Linked DNA regions of Cricetulus griseus. The protein of the gene in region 2 purifies or fractionates together with the protein of the main gene of each other region. This does not show direct contact. Links are inferred from orthologs where the notes say so. Each region holds a gene or a part of one and is shown on either strand. Other genes may lie near its edges.

Region 1 (5,848 bases), about 58 Mb from region 2:
CAATAGAGTGACACTGGATATATCAACCATTTCAGGGCAGGCCTCATGTTCAGGAGTAGTTGACCAACATAAATGGACTCACAGTTTGTGTATGTGTGTGTGCAAGCTTTTATTTAGTTACAGTTTGGTGTTGTTTTTTTTGTGGTAGTTTGTTTTCTTGGTTTGGGGGGCTTTGTGGTTGTATTGGGTTTTTGTTTGTTTTTTTGAGAAAGAAAAGTTGGGTGGGAGGGGGAGAGGATCTAGAAGGGCTTGAGTGAAGGGAAGAATATGATCAAAGTAATTTTAAAGTTAAGAATTATTTTATATATACTCTAAAAGGTATATTATATATAACTTTCTTCATTGAACAAGCTTCAATTAACTCTTAATTTTTCAAAGAGCTCTGGGCATCTTGATCTCACTATGTACAACAGACTGGCATCAAAGTCACAGGGATCCCCCTGATTCTACATCCTGAATGCTGGGACTAAAGGTGAGCAGTATCACCATCCCCGGCCTGTAGCTTTAAAACTCAGAAAGAGGCTGACTATTGTGACTTTTACACCATTTTCTATAGTGCCTGGCCCATGGTAGGTAACAATTTTCCCCACTAACCTTGACAGGTAGTAAAACTCAAAAGAAAGGACAATCTGGTGTAAGAGGTGACCTCTAACTGTTACCAAGTGACTAGGTCCTAACTGCTCTTTAATTTGTAGGGTACTTATGTAAGTCATTACAACTTACTATCATATACTTATATAATATCCTCACCAAACTGCATTCTCCATGAAGGCAAGGATTCTGTTGGTTTTAATAACCAGTGTATAGTCTAAATCAGGCATATTCAATTGTAGAGCAGGGACTCACTGGGCACATGAATTTAAGGTGATAGCTGAGGTGGGCACTTCTTCAATAAATGGAATTTATCCTCAGATCTATCAGACATTTGCTCCTGACCTATCTTTTCTTTCTTTTTTTTTTTTTTTACTATTCATGCTGTGACTAAAGGAAGTTGTGTTATAGCAAGTCCTCTCCCAACATTGTCTTCATTCTGTCTTTTGTTTTTCTCTGTGTAGGCTGTTTTGGAACTCGCTATGTAGATTGGGCTGGCCTGGAACTCAGATCTGCCTGACTCTGCCTCCTAAGTGCTGGGGTTAAAGGTTCATTCGGTTTGAGTGTTTCTCCCCACAAGTGCGCTCTCACTGACCTGGCTTCCTTGCTCTCCCCACCTTTTAGGGCATAAGTTTTCCGTGTAGCCTTGGCAGGCAGAGGCCTGGCCTTCTAGATTTAACTCAATCTCGGCCTCTCCTATGGGCTCTTTCAGTAAATGTTTTGTTGTGTTGTTTCTTGAGACAAGGTTTCTCTGTCTAGTCCTGGAACTCACACTGTAGATCAGGCTGGCCTCAAACTCAAGAGATCTGAGTGTCTCTGCCTCCCAGATGCTGAGACTAAAGGCTTTGCCACCACTACCCAGCTTGTAAAAGGGTTTTTGTTGCTGTTGTTTTTTGAGACTAGATCTCTACAGAGCCTTGAGTAGACCATCCTGGCCTTCAACTCACGTCCTGATGCGCCACAACATCCGGCATTCTCCATAAACGTTAAAATTCAACAGGACAGCCTGTCTTTTTGTTTGTTTGGTTGGTTGGTTTTCGACACAGGGTTTCTCTGTGGCTTTGGAGGCTGTACTGGAACTCGCTCTCGCAGCCCAGGCTGATCTCAAACGCACAGAGATCCGCCAGCCTCTGCCTCCCGAGTGCAGGGATTAAAGGCGTCCGCCACCACTGCCAGGCAGCTTCATATTTTTGAGGACTGTTTCCTGAACATGTTCAGAATCTCCTGATGCACCAAGCATAGACGTTAGAAATAGGAATTCATAGATTGGTGGCGGCGGCACTCTAATCTCGAAAATCCAAAAAGTAAAATAAAATAAATGGGAATTTATGACAGATATTCAAACACTACCTCATTGCTTTCATTCCCTATATGACGAACTGGAATTACCGTCTGATCCCTTTTCTTTTTTGTTTTTTTTTTCTTGACAGGGTTTCTCAACGTAGCCTTGGCTTTCTGCAATTCTCTTTGTAGAGCAGGCTGGCCTCAGTCTCAGAGATCCTCCTGCCTCTGCCTCCCAAATGCTAGGATTAAAGGTGTGCACCACACCGCCAGGCTAATCTGACTCCTTTTCATAAGGTCAGCGTGAAAAGAAGGGTAAGCTCGGGACTAATTAAACATTTTAAACGTCCCATCTTCGTGGCGAACGGAGCCGAGTTCTTCCAGACCGGTCCTGTCTTCGGGGACTGTCTATCCGCCACCACCCTGTCCAGGAACACACGAAAAGACTACAACTACGGAAGCTGAGAACTTCCAGAAACGGAACCAAAGGCCTACTCCTACAGGAGTGACACCGCAACACTCGTCCTCCGGAAACACTTCCGGGAACATGCGAGGCGATCTACCACTTTTCAAGAGGAGAGCTTGCTCCCGCCCATCCACTTCCGCTGCCACGCCTCTTTTCTTCCGCCACCCGGATATGAGCAGTTCTCGCGAGATCCGGGCCTCTTTCTAAGCCGGCACTCCTTAAGGTATGTTGGCGCCTGGCGATGGCGCCGCGGGTTTTTTGCAGAGTTTCGGGGGAAGGACTCTCATAGGATCTTCGGGGCGTCAGGCCCTGTTCCCCGGGTTGGGGATACCATGGATTACCCGGTCTGCGCCCGCCGATGGCCCCCGGCCGGGCGTCCCGCGCGACCCAGTTGACTGACGGCACCTTCTCCCCCTAGGGCGAGCCATGTTCAGCTCGAGCGCCAAGATCGTGAAGCCCAATGGCGAGAAGCCAGACGAGTTCGAGTCTGGCATCTCTCAGGTGAGTGTGTCCTCGGGTGTCCGGGTCCCCATGATGCCGTGACCTCGGGTCCTTCTCACCCCGGCGTGGCACCCACGTTCTCCGTGTCCGCAGGCGCTGCTCGAGCTGGAGATGAACTCCGATCTCAAGGCGCAGCTGCGGGAGCTGAACATCACGGCAGCCAAGGTGAGTGGAGACCACCCCGGGGCTCGCACAGTGCTCGGGTCTGTGACAGCCTCGGCCTTCGTGTCTGGGCTGGGAAAAGGGAGAAGCGTAGACGTAGGAACTCCCCAGTGCGGTGAGTCCTCACTGTACGTTCTTGCACCTCGCCACATCCGATGATAACATTTCTTTTTAAATTAGCTTTGTTTTATGTGCATTGGTGTGAAGGTGTCAGATCCTCTAGTACTGGAGCGAAAGACAGCAGTGAGCTCTCAGCGGGTGCTGAGAATTGAACCCGGCTCTTCTGGGGGAGCAGCCGGTGCTCTCAATCGCTGGTGCTCTCAATCGCTGAGCCATCTCTCCGCCCCCCCCCCCCAGATAGATGCTGGAATTTCTGGTTACTGACTTGAAGCATGTGCCTCCCAAAGGAAGTGTCTAGACCCAATATGACTCCTTACTGGACCGTCAGGTTTAGTGGGGGCTTTATAAGGTTTTGGTGTGACAGGGATTTGTTTAGGATTTATTTTGTGACTGTTAGTGGTCTGCTTGTGTTGCGTTTGCACACCACGTGTGTCCCTGAAACTGGATAGTTGTTAGTTCTGGGAGCTGAACCTGGGAACTTTGCTAGCACAAGTGCTGCGCCTCACCCTGAGTCAACCCTAGCCCGGGATTAGTGTGCTGTGAGGTTTTTATTGCCAAATTCATACTGTTTGGACTGTATAGTGTATGGAACAGGCTTGACATCCAGGCCATGGGGATTTAAGGTTTAGTCATGCTGGGGGAACTTGAGGTTGCTTGTGGCCAGCGTCCTGGGTGGCATGGCCCTCACTGGTGAGACAGAATCTCTGGTAACCTAGGCAGGCCCTTATGAACTTGGTCCTTCTTTCTGCCTCTACCTCTCTGGTGCTGGGGTAATGGGCATGTATCTGCTGGTCGCTCGGTGTCTCTTGTAGAGTCGCCCACATTCATTCTGAGATTACATTTCAGTGACCTCCAGTGGCTGATATCCTGGAGATTCAACCTCTGGATCCCTAACTCCATTCTCAGGACCTCAAAGTGAGGGTTAGGTTTTAACTCATGAACTTCAGGTACCCCGTAGTCTATATCCAAACCATAGGAGAATGGTGTTTGGAAGGGGAGCTGTTTGTTGTTTGTGCGTAGTGCATGACATTAATCCCATCACTTGTGAGGCAGAGGCAGGTATATCTGGGATAAAGGCCAGACAGGTCTACATAGAATGTTTCAGAAGGGGGCAGCTCTTGATTTAGATGTGTGGTATTTGATGTATTCACATTAACGGTGTTACCTCAGTGGGGGGAATTGGAGGTGAAGGACTTAATGACACGGACTTTGTTCCTCTTAGGAAATTGAAGTTGGTGGTGGCCGGAAAGCCATTATAATTTTTGTACCAGTTCCTCAGTTGAAATCGTTCCAGAAAATCCAAGTACGACTGGTTCGTGAATTGGAGAAAAAGTTCAGTGGGAAGCACGTAGTCTTCATTGCTCAGGTATCTGTTCAGTTTCCTGTATTCTGAATTACTTGGGTCTAGGTGTCGGGAGTGAGAATGGTGACAACCCTGTTAGTGTAAAGCTTGGTGTTGGGGGTAGAACACTGGAGTGTGTTTGCTCTGGGGAGTCAGCAGTCTGAAGGGTCTGATAAGTGACAGTGCTGTGTGTTTAGGATTGGATTTGGTGCAGTGTGGGGGATGCTCTGTGTGGGGCTGATTGGAAAGCAATATCATTGAAGCATTTCAGTGGGCTGGTTTGAATGTGAAAACATTTTTGCATTTGAAGCAGTTGGTCGTTTCTTAGCAGCTTTGCCTCAGCTCATTTGCTGTTTTTGTGTTTGTTTTCATCAAAGAGGAGGATTCTGCCCAAGCCAACTCGGAAAAGCCGCACGAAAAACAAGCAAAAGCGCCCCAGAAGGTGAGTGTTTTAGCTGCTTCTGCCAGGTGTTCACTACTCACTGGCTGTTGATTTGTGTAAGGCACTGAGCACAGCACGTCATTGGTGTAGAGTCAAGACTGAGCCTGTTTCTCTTAACTCAGGATGTGTTAAGTGTTGGATGTAGCTGAGGGGCTGTGCTGTTGTCATGTGCTGCTAACAATGCTAACAGCCACTTCATGAATTGGTCTTTAGACTGAGGCCTTGTTGGTGTTGCTGTAATTATGTCAGATTTGTATTGAAGATTCCTGCACATTAAGGGCGAAAAGTGTCGTTTTCCCTCATAACTGCTATAGGCAATCTTGTGAGACATACAATTTGTATGGTGTGTTCTGTCAGTGCTTTTGAGACAGGATCTCGAAGTCCAAGTTCACTTTCAACTTGCTGTTAGCCAAGACTGCTCTTTAACTCCTGCCCTTACTGCGCCAGTGCTAGGATTACAGGTGCACACCATCATGTCCTGTGGGTGTTGTTTGTATTGCAGTATGGTGGTTAATAATGCTAAGAATTTTTCGCAATTCAATCTTGCCTTGAAGCACTGGAAAATAGGTGGGAATTTTGTGTGTGGGTAAATGCTGTCTGTAGGAAGGAAGACAGGTAATGGTCACAGCTGAGACTATAGTTTTTCCAGGGGGCAGTTGGAGTGGTGGGATTTTTTGTCATATTACTTAGTGGGGTTTTCGATTATGGTCCTTGGAGCCTGGTCAAGTAAGTAGCCCTTGCATGGCAGAGCTAAGATTACCTGCCATGCTGTAGTGTTCCCTTAGCAACTTCTGCCCTTGACGCCTAGGTCCTTCCTTGGTGTAGGGTGTGGTAGTCCTTCCTATACTTCTGTCTCCAGACCCTGCTAAAATGACAGTGTGCTTTAAAGAGGAGCAGTGGGCAGGCATCTGATAACTGGATGATACTGAGTGTGAACATACAG
Region 2 (5,748 bases):
TGGATTGGCTGCAGTGCTATCTCAGCATTTCCAAACAGTCTCTCCAGAAGTAAAGAACATCTGTATTGTACTCAGTGGTGGGAATGTAGACTTAACCTCCCTAAACTGGGTGAAGCAGGCTGAAAGGCCAGCTTCTTACCAGACTATTTCTGTTTAAATTCATGAGAAGATTGTCTCTAGATGAAAATTGTTTTTCATCTTCCCTTTTCAAATTGTTTTCAAAATCCTAATGGATAAGAGTATTTCAGTAAGAGTTATAATTTGGAGACCAAGTAATAGTGTAAACCCCATACTCAGTGTAGATTTGGACAGCTGAAATAGCACAACCTGCATAATCACAACCAGACTCCCACCCACGGCTGCAGTAGAGACAGGACCCCACTGAATCCGTTATTCCATGTCCACTTCAGACACTGTTGAGGAGATCTCACTTTTCACCCACGGTACTGGTTCTGGTACATATGGATCATAAGTCCATTTGGGGAAAACTCGCTTATAGAGATTCATTAATACTGTATCCTGAGATTTTAGCTTCCCATCAAAACTGCACTTCATGTGGCCATGAGTACCTAGGAGGAAAACAGCAAATCGGTCACAGTAAGACATGTAGTGAACTTCACAGTCCAACAGTCCCTTTGTAACACTGGGGAATCCCAGGCTCTTACCTACAGGCTCCTTGATGTGTCCTCTGCGTCCCCACTTGGTTCTCAGTTCCACAGGCTTAAACCACATCACATCCTCTTAGAATGGAATACACAGACACAAAAATCAAACATTTACCTACGGTGCCTAGCCCATCTTCCCACCACAGGGAAACAGATCCCACTTTCCTTCATTCATGCCTACCTCTGTTGAAAAACATGTAACGCACTACTGCCATCTTAGTGAAAATTTTGAAAGGATGACCACTGAGAACAACTCTCTTGATGACCATCCTGTCTGGATCCACTGACAACAGATGGCCTGTAGCAATGAGGCTGTGCATCCCTAGGAAAGGAGAGCAGCTGTGAAGTACAGGACCAACCCCTCAGCTACGACTCTGTTCTATTTAAAGACTCATTCAAGGTTTTCTTAGAGAAATGCACTGTTACCTTTCTTACACAAAGACCACTACAGATATTTCCATTGAGCAGTCCCCTAGCCTGCCTTAAATACAGTAGTCCAAGCAGCCTCTACTGAAGTCTGCATCACCCTGGGCTTGCTTACACCCTCAAGGAGATTGAAATTGGTATTTTTGAAAACCCACCAGTATACCTTAATACACTTAGACCCCAGGTCTAAGTACAGAAAAGTGCTGGTCCTAGTAGGTTCAATTATGTACCATTTAGAATTCAACATACCATTGCTTCTCTGCTTGAAAAGTAGCACAGATGCAGGAGGAAAAGTGATTGGTGCAAACACAGTCACCACCAAAGCCGCATCAGCAGTTAGGAATCTCTGAAATTTGTGTTTATCAGCTTCCATAGTAAGGGTCCAAAATAAATAGAAAAAAAAAAAAGTGAAAAGACTTTTGAGAAACCATAAGCAATCCAAGAGCTGTCAAAAGCTATGCTGCTGCCACACAGCCCCACCCTTTAAAATTATGGTAATGGAGGTCAAGCACAGGACTGTGTACTCACTTATTGCTCTACATCATATTCTCAGCTTAACTGTGACTCTTAACCAAAAGCAATAGTGTTTAAGATCCATGTTTTTATTTATGTGTAGGTATCTGGGTATATCCATGTGGGTGTGGGGGGTGCTCGTGTGCAGGTGCCTCTAAGCTGACCAGTGTAGGTACTGGGAATTGAACCCAGGTCCTCTGTGAGCTCCAGTCTGTTTTGTTTTGAGACAGGTCTCATGTATTGCAGGCTTGCCTTTAACTTGCTATGTACCTTCCTCCATCTCACAAGGGCTAGGATATCCTATCCAGCTTCATCTTGTATTTCCCTACATACTAACTCTTAGACTTCTTCCACGCCCTGCATCAACACAATTAAAAGATAAAATTGAGTCCCACCAGTGATTTTTTAACTGGAGACAGAATTAATGCTTAGTCTACTGGTAAAAATGAAAGAGTCCTCCCAGATGATCTGATCTCAATACAACCAATACTTTCACTCAGCCTTGAGCTCTTTTGTGCTGTGTGCAGGACAGTAAGATAGCAGAAAAGCTCTGTTCATCTGCAATGCAGTTATTACTTTCTTAAAATAATTAAGGCTTTTTAATACATTTTATTTATTTTGGTGGTGTGGAGGCATATGTGCTACAGCACTGGAATACAAGTCATAGTTCTTCCCTTCTATCACGCAGGGCCAGTCAGCACTCACTGAATGTAGGTCCTCAGGTTCAGCAAGGTTGAGCAGCTAGCCAGCTCCAAATCACTTTCTATTCCAACTACTCAGGTTTGTCAGTGTGCCTTTATGATACCATGCCAGTTGAGCATGGTAATGTAACCCTCCCCATATTCCCACCACCCTGAAGGTCAAGGAAGGCCAGCTTGGGCTACATATTAAGACCTTGTGTTGAAAATCTCAATAAATAAAACAAGACAAGCATACACAATGCAGTTAGATACTTAATAACAAGCAAAAAAAAAAAAAAAAAAAAAAATACTGGAAAGTAAAGGTAGGAGGACCCAAGTTCAAGGCCCTCTTAACCCTATCTCAAAATAAATAAATAAATCCCAAAACCAAGACATGGCATGTTTTACCAAAACTTTGTTTTAAAAAATAATGCGACAGATGAAAATTTACCCACAACACCAGTAATGCTGTTACCATCTCTGTCTCCTGTCACTGGAAGGCAAGTGAGTTATGGTACTATTCAATGGTCCCAAAATAGCAGGCAACACATATTCCTACTCCTAAAGTTACCAACCCTGGTTTAAAACCTACTCCAGAACAATACTCACAGCAAAGAAGCCTCAGCATAACACAGTTCGCATCACTGGGATGCTTCAGACAGGTTCAGACATTGAATAAAAACATCATTGGCTCCTAAGTCAGAGTACTGAAAACATCTTCACCCCAGAGACAAGTGACAAGACCCCAGCAGCTTCCATGCTAACCTGCTGTGTGCTGAGAGAATAAGGGCGAGGATCGGAAGCGCCTGAATCCACAGTGGAAGATCAATTCTTCTTTGGCTTTTACAGGTTCTGTGTTGCCAGGGTTCCGACTCACTACCATGTTCAATACTGACATCTGAGGACCAAATAAGAAAAAGCTTCATAGTCTAGGCATACAACAGCCTACCCTGAAAGGCTAACCATGCTAGTTAATGACATGATGTCATAATAAATAGTCCTTTTTACCCAACAACCAACTGACTTTGCAGGTTCATACAGGCCTTGTCAGTGCTTCCATGCAATGTCTAAGCTAGCTTAGCCAAGCTAGCTTACTGATCGATCCACATGTAACATTATAGAAGCTAAGCCATGGTGAATGACCTTCACATCACCTGATTAACCACATACACTCCTCTCAGCCTCCACCACCTTTATACCAGCTGTCCCACTCCCAGTGGGCATGACTACAGGTCACCTAGAGAACAGGTCTCCACACTGGCACAAACATTTACTTTTAAGACTACTAGTGTTCTGATCTGGACAAAAAAAAAAAAAAAAAAAAAAAAAAGTAGGTAGGGAAGTCTCAGAACCACAGACTGCATCACTGAGATGCTTCAGACAGGTTCAGACATCTTGGGTATAACCATCATTGACTTCTCCATTCTGACTCCCAGAATCAAAAACGTAGCCTTCCACAAGAGAACAAAATGTTGGAAAAATATGTACAACTCTTCATTCCTCACAAAACACTGATTTACCTTCTGTTCATAAGGTAGTAAAGAAAATGCAATCAAGGGTGCTCCTTGCCTGAAATACTCAACCACCGAGACAGGGACGTCTGCGACATGAAGTGTGACATACCAGCCAACCTGCCAAAGCATAGACAATCACCAGGGTTACCTTTAATGTCCCAATAGTGACGAAACTTTCTCGAAATACATGCCAGGCCTCATCATTCATGGGTGTGCCAACCACCCAGATTCAACCTTCTCAGTTAATTATCTCAAATCCCTTTGTTCCCAAACAAGTAGCATTGTGTCAAAAACAAATTATAAGGTAGACAAGATGGCAGGTACCTCGGCTCCTTCAGCTTCTTTTTCCTCAATCTCTTTAAAGATTCTTTTTCTAGTATTAATAAAATTCTGAAACTGGAAGATCCGAGCATAATCTCGAGGAAGGTTTTCCTTGGGGTCCCAAGGAGATGTCCTGAAGCTCTTGAGGCCTCTATATTTCTGAAATCTAAGAAAGTAAGTGGTTAGATGGTGCTATATAAGACTCACCTCACTTCTAAAATAGTCAAGGCTCTCACTTTTTAAAATTACTCTTATCTAAGAATGTAAGTCAGTGGTAAAATGCTTACCTCTAGTACACAACAAACCTAACAAGGCTTTAAGTGTGGCTCTAATCTACTGGGAAGGTTGGGGTACACCATGTGTTTCATGTCTGCCTGAGCTACAAAGCAAAACTGGCTCAAGAAACAAAATTACTCACTAGGCATTCAAAATACCCTAATGAGCTACACATGGGCATGGAAATATACACCTATAACCCAACACTTGGGAAGTGGAGGCAGAAGATCCATAATAGCCTGATCCACATGAGACCCTATCTTTCAAACAAACTACAAACTAATAGCTTTAGCAAAAACCATGTCCTACAACAGCTTCTAATAACTATTTCAAAATCAACCCAGACTTTTCACAGGGGACAAAGAATTTATAGTGCCTGTTATGGAATACAGCTCTTCAACCTGCCTTACCACTCTCGTACCCAACACTGATACTGGCTTTTAGTCAGGCTTACATCCAGAAAAATCAACTACGTTTTATTACTTTTACTTTTATAAGCTTCATTTCAAAATATGTACTTTCACCTCCCAAATCCATATTTCTGAGCACTTACTCCTGCAAGGAATATTTGCTAATTAAACTAGGTATGTCTGTTTCACTCTGAACAAATCTATACCTTGACTATATGTTGCTGCTTCTCCTGTAGCATGCTTGCCCTTCAAGAAAAAAGGACAATGTGTTTTTCCCATTTGCATCCTACTCGAATAATTCTAAACCATGAAAATTTTTCAAATAAAACTTGTCTGAAATCACTTGCTGACTAACCGAGTTCTAGCAGCCACATCACGGGGGGTATCCATTTCATCTGGAAACATCTCTTCCAATCTTTCTTGTTTGTATTTCTCCAACATTCTCTCCTCAGCCTCTTCATCTACTTGCTCATCGTAGAGATCATCATGCACAGACTCCCCTAGAGTCATAGTTTCACACTCCTCCTCTTCCTCACTACTCTCATCCTGTAAAATGAATGGGGAATTGCAAATATGCATCATGAAACACACTTTAGTCTTGGGATTTAGGAAGCTGAGGCAGGAGATTCACTATGAGTTTATTGGCAAGACTGTTTCACAGAGAAACCCTGTCTCCAAAAATAAAAGAAAAAAAAGTAACAAGCCCGAAAAGGGAAGAGGACGTAGCTCCACTGGTAGAAGTGCCTTCCTGACACACATAAAGCTCTCGGTTAGATCCCCAGTGCTACCTAAAGTTGGGCAGATTCCACACGCCTGCAAACAGTATCCACACCGCTTCAGCTAGAGTTCTAGACAAGCCTGAGATGCATAAGACTATATTCCCCCACCCCTGACAACCCAAAAAAGAAAATCATAGCACCAACAAGGTGGCTCAGTGAGGAAA

What was found.
Region 1: the proteins of Tsr1 (region 2) and Rps7 purify together in Homo sapiens (co-immunoprecipitation; 4 studies listed by BioGRID and IntAct, with this or other methods). This does not show direct contact. The link is inferred for Cricetulus griseus from reciprocal best matches to the Homo sapiens genes TSR1 and RPS7.

The regions. Positions count from the first base shown.
Region 1 is NC_048600.1:30,789,592-30,795,439, reverse strand, and holds the start of Rps7 (40S ribosomal protein S7), read left to right. Parts: upstream 1-2,487; 5' UTR 2,488-2,561; intron 2,562-2,756; 5' UTR 2,757-2,764; coding exon 2,765-2,839; intron 2,840-2,932; coding exon 2,933-3,004; intron 3,005-4,343; coding exon 4,344-4,487; intron 4,488-4,840; coding exon 4,841-4,905; intron 4,906-5,848.
Region 2 is NC_048600.1:88,354,713-88,360,460, reverse strand, and holds part of Tsr1 (pre-rRNA-processing protein TSR1 homolog), read right to left. Parts: intron 5,352-5,748; coding exon 5,161-5,351; intron 5,148-5,160; exon of another isoform or gene 4,286-5,147; coding exon 4,123-4,285; exon of another isoform or gene 3,916-4,122; coding exon 3,805-3,915; exon of another isoform or gene 3,183-3,804; coding exon 3,050-3,182; exon of another isoform or gene 1,458-3,049; coding exon 1,341-1,457; exon of another isoform or gene 988-1,340; coding exon 847-987; exon of another isoform or gene 741-846; coding exon 666-740; exon of another isoform or gene 570-665; coding exon 391-569; 3' UTR 158-390; coding exon of another isoform or gene 1-157. Other genes in the region: Srr (serine racemase), read left to right, coding at 1-157. UniProt on the Homo sapiens protein: Required during maturation of the 40S ribosomal subunit in the nucleolus.